2 linked regions of the Cricetulus griseus genome follow. The protein of the gene in region 2 purifies or fractionates together with the protein of the main gene of each other region. This does not show direct contact. Links are inferred from orthologs where the notes say so. Each region holds a gene or a part of one and is shown on either strand. Other genes may lie near its edges. The genes, in order: Cops6 and Dcaf1.

Region 1 (4,431 bases), about 98 Mb from region 2:
ATCCGTGCCACATGGTCTACACCGATACGTTCAGCTTCCTCAGTGGCCAGTGTGTACGTGAGCTCAGCAAACAGCATTGTAGCCTGCAGAGCAAAGGGTTCCCACATGAGAAGAGTCAGAATCGGAAACAAAGGAGCAGATGGCTGCACAACCCTGAGGATCTGACTTTAGATCCTCAGAACCCACAGTAAGCTAGATGTGGTAAGAATGTGTCTGTACCCCCAGCACTCCTACAAGACCAGAAGTAGGGCACAATTCCCAGAAACCCCCAGGCAACCAGCCTGGCAAACAAGATGCTGTCTCAAACAAAGTAGAAAGTAAGGATGGACATCCAGGGTGGTCCTGTGACTGCATACATGTGCATGGCATGCAGGAAACAGGCTAAAAGCAGGAATTGAAGGTTGCAGGGTAGGTATTACCTCTCCATTGATTATATCGATGACAGACTCAAAAACGCTGACAGGAAGCTGTAAGACAGATGGAGACAACTCTTACTAAGAGCAAATGCACTTGAACTTAAACATGTGCCAGGCTGGCCTGGAACTCACAATCCTGCCTCAACCTTCTGAGTGCTAAAACTGATTAAAAGTATGTGGACACACTTGGCTCACCTTTTCAATTTTCCCCAAAACATACCCACATTACATATGAAAGTGCCACTTACAAGATGACATCATAGAATTGATGGGTAACTAGCAGCATGGTAGACATTCAACTCAAGCATTCTCTAATACAGATGATGTCACACAGTAAATTACAGCAGAGCATGAGGATCAAAAGCAGGCAGAGTGGTAGATGATAAAGACAAAGGGGACATAGGGTCAGCAATACTCACATCTGTGTGCTTGGTCATGGGGTTCAACTTCAGAAAGAGGGGGCTCTCAATTATCTCGCACACCTAAAAGAAAAGAGAAGGCACCCCCCAAAAGTCAACCTTTCTTCCTCTTATGTTTGGTTCTCTTCCCCAACATGTACACATTTGAACCTGTATACCTGCTTATGGACGTGGATGTCGGAGGGGTCAGGCGGCCCCCCTGTGGTATACCAACCCAGAAACTCCAGCTCCTTGAACACCTGTTTAACTGAAGAAGGGGCCAATGTAAACAATATTTCTTTAAACCGCTCTTCGTTTCACTGACTTTGGTGTATTTCTTTTTTTCCTCACCAGTTCTTCCCTCCCTCCTCAAATTTTGGCTCAGTTTGGAGTAACTACACTCTGCCATCGCTCATCCTTTACTTGCTGAAAATAACCTTTTATTTCTGATCTCCTGTCTCCATCTCCTGGTTTATATGATACTCGAGGACTTAACTCTGGGCTTCTTGCATGTTAGGGCAAGCACTATACCCACTGTCCTACATCCCCAGCACTTTTATCTTACATTTATCTTAGCCAAAAGGACGAGAAGCAATGCACTTTTACTTAAGACCAACCCAACCCCTGCCCCCCCAAATCTTCCCACTTCACTTCTCTTTCCCACCCACTTGTATCCCCTCTCACACTGCTCCTCCTTGGTGTAGTAATATTCCTTGTCAATGATAATCTTCTCTTCCACGGTGTGGGACAGCAGCTCAAAAGAGTTCATCACTTCGATATTTCGCCCCTCCTGCTTCCCGATTAAAGCCCCAATCACTGAGAGGAGAGAAGCACACCAAAGATAGGTGAGGGAACAGGCATCCAAAATCTTTCCTCATAACCCAAGACTCTGAGGTCAGTGTGAATCAATGATTGAGGGAACTAATTTGGAAGAAGTGGGAGGCGAGGGAAAAGTGATTGGAGGAGGTCTCCAAGAGGAGGGTTTGAGGTCTACACACAGCCCTCACCCTGCATAGGCCGCCCCTCCTGGGAGCGCATGCGGATCCAGTGGTCGGAGATGTTGAGGATGACAAGGGGATGAAGAGCGACGGAAACACTCCCAGTCACTCCAGAGGCCATCACGCTGGGGGCTGTGAAAGGTAAAGGAAAACACAGCGGTGAAAGCTCGGGCCCTCACATTCTCTCCTAGACATGGGAGTAGGGGACCGGCGCAGCCGGGCCGTCCATCCCTGCCCGCAAGTTACGCTGGGACAGCTGTCTGTCGCTTCTCCCGGGCTTAGGTAGTACTCAAGATACTCCGCAAGGGCGATGCCAGAAGTCGCTCCGCACAGCCCGTTACCTGCTGCATCCACCTCCATGCCGCTGCTGCCTCCGCTCCCGTTCGCAGCCGCCGCCGCCATTTTCCCCGCGCCCGCCAGCCACGGCCCGCCCCCTTCCTTCCCGGCTTCCGTCGGCGAGCGGCGCATGCTCAGTATGTGCTTGGCGCTGCTAAAGGGCGGGGCATCTGCCAGTCCTTGGTAGTCCTGGATGTCCAAGAGCACGTCGTACTGTGTTGCTGTTACCTGTTCTCAAGTAACCTAGCATGGCCTTGAACTCTGTATTGTGTATCTGAGGATGACTTCCACTTTGATCCGCCTGCCATCACCTCCCAAGTACTGTTATTACAGGTGTGCATCAACAAGCCCTGGTATTTTATGCTCAAAGCGCAGAGTCACTAGGCCTTGGGTCAGCCAGAAGTCACTGGAGAGTAGGGCTGTTCGTTTCCAGCGCTCAGTGGGTGCATTGTATGTACTGGAGCCAGAAAATTGCAACCAAAAGGAAGCAAGGCTGTTAGCAGGATGTGGAAAGCAATTTATTCAAGATATTAAACTTTTTCATGTTGCATATAATCTGTATGCAGGAACTTGGTCACTTGTTTGTTTGTTGACATAGGACCTCACTGTGTAGCCCATCTGGCTGGGAACTTGCTCTTAGAGCAGGCTGACTTCAAACTCACAGAGATGCGCCTGCCTCTGTTTCCTGAATGCTGGGATTAAAGGCGTGCGTGCGCCACCATGCTCAGCAAGCCTAGCTTTTGTGTGTGTGTTGGGGATTTAAACTCAGATCCTAACACATTATCATTGAGCCACCTCCTCAGCTGTGACTGCTCTTGAACTGTTTAGCTGCTTCAGTGGCAGGGCAACCTGACTCCTTACACAACTTAGTGACTGCTACTGGGAGAACTTTGGGCACACAGTGGGATGGGTGCCAGGTGAATCTGGGGCCACACTGGTGTGGTATCTGCTACTTACTGGCAGAACCTCTTCAGTAATTGTCTTAGGGTCTCTATCACTGTGAAGAGACACCATCACGATGGCAAATCTTATAAGGAAAACATTTAATTGAGGGGGCTCACTTACAGTTTCAGAAGATCAGTCCATTATCATCATGACAGAGCATGGCAGTGTGCAGGCAGATGTGGGGCTGGAGTAGCTGAGAGTCCTACATCTTGCAGGCAACAGGAAAGTGACTGACAGTCACACTGCAGGAAGCTTGAGCAAAAGAGACCTCAAAGCCCTCCTGCCCACCCCCTGCCACCCACCCCACCCCCGCCTACCCAGTGACATACTTCCCCCAATAAGGCTATATCTCTTAATAGTGCCACTCCCTTTGGGAACCATTTTCTTTCAAACCACAACACAGTGATCAAGCAACTTTGTAGAAGTCTCCACCACTTTTCTGGCAGAGGACTCTAGCCATCAAGCTGCCGCCAGCAAATCACATAAGAGAAGCCTTTATCCTGCTTGATTGTACCAATAGGGAAGGTGCAGTGTTGTGGTGGTTTGAATAAGAATGGCCCCTGATAGGCTGGAGAGATGGCTTAGAGGTTAAGAGCATTGGCTGTTTTTCCAGAGGTCCCCGGTTCAATTCCCATCACCCACATGGCAGCTCACAACTTGTAACTCCAGTTCCAGGAGACCTGACACCCTCACACAGGCATACATTCAGGCAAAACATCAATGCACACAGAAGTAAATCTTAAAAAAAAAAAAAAAAATGGCCCCCATCGACCACCAACGCCCGGCTATGCTATAAACTTAAAGCGGTTACCATTAGAAGAAAAACAAGACAAAGAAACGTTAATGCTAACAGCAATTTAACACTATTTTTAAAATGCTTAACACCTGTCTAGGGCCCAAGGAGAACTAGGTCCCCTTCATCTGTCTCAGAATGAATTTTTCAGATGTTAGTTACACATGGGAGATGATTTTTATTTACTTACTTATTTTCAATGTGTGTTTGTGTGTGTGTGTTTGCGGGCATGTGCACACGCGCTGACCCAAAAGCTAAGAATATCATCAGATAGCATATGAGTCCTATAGAAAAGCTTACTTCATAGCTGAGTGCTGGTGGCGCACGCCTTTAATCCCAGCATTCGGGAGTCAGAGGCAGGTGGATCTCTGTGAGTTCGAGACCAGCCTGGTCTACAGAGTGAGTTCCAGGACAGCCAGGGTTACACAGAGAAACCCTGTCTCGAAAAACAAAACAAATAAAATAAACAAATCTTCTTAAAAAAATCAACTGAGCCGAACCTTCAGCCCATGATGCTCATGTATATTAACAGATTCTTCAAGTTT
Region 2 (3,814 bases):
TTGTTCCAATTTAATGGCCAGGTGAGCCTCAAAATACTTTCGAAGAGCCATGCAGGTATGTTTGCCTGTTTGGCGGCTAGCAAATATTTCATCATCACTCAAAAGTGCACCCTGGTCTTCCAAATTTAAAATCTCCAAAGTACTGATCTATTAGTAAACAGGTATAAGATTCCAAAGGAGATGGGGAAAGAGCACACAGAAAAGTAAAAAGATTAAAAAAAAACATTTGGTAAATGTTTATATTCAACAGTACTGACAAGTTTCATATTCTAACAGTCATATGAAATGAAAAAATGACATCATCTAATCATATTAAAATATATAGAGAAGATGAGGTATGATGGTGTACTCTTGTAGCAAAACACTTGAGAGGCTGAGGCATGAAAATACCAAGTTTCAGGCCAGCCAATCTACATAGCAAATTCAAGGCTCTTGAACTACAGAAAAATTTTCTTAAAAATCAAAAAAAGAAGGATTGGAGAGATCAGCAAGAGCACTGGCTGCTCTTCCAGAGGAGCCAGGTTCAATTCCCAGTACAACACGGCAGCTCACAACTGTCTGTGGCTCCAGTTTCGGGGATCCAACACCCTCACAAAGACACAAACACAGACAAAACACCAATGTACATAAAATGAAATTGAGTAAAATCTTTAAAAAGGTAATCAACTAGAAAGGAAAGCAAAAATACACCAGCCTAAAATTGTTGCCATTTGAAAAGATCAAAATTAACCAATTGCAGTGTGTGGTAGCCCACAGTTGCAATCCAACTCCCAGCACTTGGAAGCAGAGCCAGAAAACTAGATACAAGTTCAATGTCAGCCTGGTCTACAAAGGGAGTTCCAAACAAGGTGACATAATGAAACTACCTTTTCTCACAAAAGCCAGAGAGAGGGAGAGAAAGGGGGAGGGGGACTTCCTCTCTTTTACGTGGTATCTTTCAGAATAGCCAAAATAAACAGGACTCCTAACAGCTAACTGAAGAGCCAGTGGAAGAATCTCACCAAGTTCACCAGGCGACGAAGACCATCATAACGGTCAAAGAGCTCCAAGACAGCCCGGAATGAGAAGCAAATTGAGAAAAACATTGTAGCATGGCAGCATCCTGAAGCATGAGAACATTCCATTAACCATAGGGTATAGTTCACCACATCAGATAGAACATTGTGGGGATGCATGCAAACCTGCAAAAAAGTAAATAAATATATTTTAACATTTGGAGCAAAGGTTTCTTTAAAAGGGATGAAAAATTGTCCAATGTAGACAGAAATGTTTACAGAATACAGTGATCATTCTAAATCAGTTCTAGAGCATAATTCATTCCAAACCTGAAAACTACCTAAATTTAATTAAGTACAACCTATACTTACCAAGAGCCAAAAATATATCATTTAATGCTTCTAAATGACTAGGTGCATAAAGTATACACATCTTGCTTAACAATTATAAGATGCTCAGAGACGTTAAGGACTGTGGTGATATCTTATTTGTATTCTAACAAATAAACCTTGCCTGATGATCAGAAAAGTTAATCACAGAGGTCTGGAGGTCTGTACAGACAAACAGGAAGTAAGATGGCTTGGCAGAGGAATATAAGGCAGGAGACAGTAGCTCGGACTCTTTACAAAGGTATGGAAATTTTATAGAGATAAGAGCGCTAATGCTGAAAGCTCTACTTCTCTGACCTTTCAATTTCACTCCCTGATATCTGACTCGAGGTTTTTATTATTAAGACCAATTAGAACTCCTGCTACAAAGGACCTTTTACAGTCTCACTTTATGGCCTGGAATTCAACTATGTAGACCAGATGGGTCTCAAACTCACAGATATCCACCTGCCTCTGGCTCCCAACTACAAGGATTAAAGGCATGCACCACCGTGCCCAGCAAGGACATTCTTAAGTGGCTGAGCCTACTGATGATACTAAGTCTACAAATGTATCAGCTGCTCTACTGATTCATACATCTGTATGCTTCCTATAAATTAAACACCGTCAAACATTACCTAGGTTTGCCTGGTACTATTTTCTATATTTTAGTCATAATTAACTTTGAGCATATAGTTTACTATTCACAAAAAGTAAAATTTTAACTATTGGTTATCTTAATTAATTAGCAAAGACAAAGACAACACTCAAGACAATCAAGAGCTATACTTAACTTAAAAAGTCATGTACAATACAAAATATTAGAAAAATGTTCCTGGTACAGAAATGATAAGCCCTCTCCTAGAAACACCTAGGGGAAGCATCACTTTTCAAATGTATAGCCCACTCACTTTTTAAAAAATGATCACTAACATAAAAGACTTAATGGAAAAACAAAAGACTCAAACTAAGAATGAGAACAGCTAAAATTAGTTCACTATCTCCAACACAAATTATTTAACATATATAAAGCATATATAGTTTTTATAATAAATTAACTTTAAAATATAATACAGTTGACAAATGAAAAGTGCCTATTAATTGTAATGCCACAAAAATCACAAAAAAAAACAAATAAAGCTGGTAAAACATCTGTCCTGCACTTTCTCAGTAGAGTCAATTTTTTCTAAACCATTTCACATTTTAGGATGCTTTATGGAGATATACATCCTTATTCTTCATGTCTTTCATAAGAATTTCATCTTGTCAACTGTTTCTTTCTTCTTCTTATCCAAACATTCATATGTGAATATGCTGTTTTAAAGAGATGGTCCCCATCAAATCCCATTCTCATCACCTGAATGGACTAGACTTACTCTTTCCATAGCATCCTGGTTGTAGGACAGGTAATACAAGCACATGGATACACCAGTTGCAGCCATAGAAGGACGAGGAATTTCCAGTAATTTCTGTACTCCACCATGTGCAACAAATTCTGTGGCAAATTTGTTATGGAGCAGGAGAGATGCTAGGTGCTAAACAGTAAGGACACATGTTACAGTGGAATAATCAAAAACATCACAAATCTCATAACACAATATTAACTTCTATAGAGTCATCTAAATAGAGAACCACCCTCATTCATATATATATATATATATATATATATATATATATATATATATATATATAGTAGAGTAGTCAGACAGTGATGATGCACGCCTTTAATTCCAGCACTTGGGAGGCAGAGGCAGGTGGATCTCTGTCAGTGTGAGGCCGGCCTGGTCTACAGAGCAAGTTCCACAGAGAAACCCTGTCTCAACACACAAAAAAATAAAACACGAATTTATTACGTGAGTGGCTATGGTGTTACATGTGGAGGTCAGACAATAACTTGCAGGAATTGGTTTTCTCCTTCCACCATATGGTTCCCAGAGATCAAACTCTGCTCATCAGGGCTTGGCAACAAGTGCCCTAACCTGCTGAGCCATCTCACTGGCTCTAGATAGGCTATCTACTGGCCTTGAACCCACTGACTCCCCACAGCTGGGATTACAGCTTGCACCACAACACCCAATTTTTAATGTTTAAATTTTGTTAATTTCCTGCTCAAAATTCCCACCAGTCTCTCAGGATGAAACAATCTGTACTATTTTAAGGACAGAAAGTCCCACAAAAGTGGGATGGTCTTCATATTTCTGAACCCAGGGCCTCAAAGACAGCCTCAGGAGAGCTAGAGCTCCCCTCCTGTTTCCAGAACAGACAATACAAGCCTGCAATTGCATACTTGAAGAGATAAAGTCAATGGCACCATTAACAGGTATTTACCCTCTTCTCAACACCTAGAGCTGGACTAAGCCTTATATAAAATTCAAATCCTTTCCTTTATTATCCTCTTGTTTATCATAAAGGCCTCTACCATTCTTCCCTCAAGAAGCAGCTAAACTAGG

What was found.
Region 1: the proteins of Dcaf1 (region 2) and Cops6 purify together in Homo sapiens (affinity purification with mass spectrometry; 7 studies listed by BioGRID and IntAct, with this or other methods). This does not show direct contact. The link is inferred for Cricetulus griseus from reciprocal best matches to the Homo sapiens genes DCAF1 and COPS6.

What each region holds. Positions count from the first base shown.
Region 1 is NC_048597.1:116,889,313-116,893,743, forward strand, and holds the start of Cops6 (COP9 signalosome complex subunit 6), read right to left. Parts: upstream 2,862-4,431; 5' UTR 2,281-2,861; coding exon 2,154-2,280; intron 1,945-2,153; coding exon 1,822-1,944; intron 1,631-1,821; coding exon 1,499-1,630; intron 1,083-1,498; coding exon 994-1,082; intron 899-993; coding exon 836-898; intron 468-835; coding exon 420-467; intron 84-419; coding exon 1-83. UniProt on the Homo sapiens protein: Component of the COP9 signalosome complex (CSN), a complex involved in various cellular and developmental processes.
Region 2 is NC_048597.1:215,060,377-215,064,190, reverse strand, and holds part of Dcaf1 (DDB1- and CUL4-associated factor 1), read right to left. Parts: intron 2,900-3,814; coding exon 2,741-2,899; intron 1,182-2,740; coding exon 1,002-1,181; intron 148-1,001; coding exon 1-147. UniProt on the Homo sapiens protein: Acts both as a substrate recognition component of E3 ubiquitin-protein ligase complexes and as an atypical serine/threonine-protein kinase, playing key roles in various processes such as cell cycle, telomerase regulation and histone modification.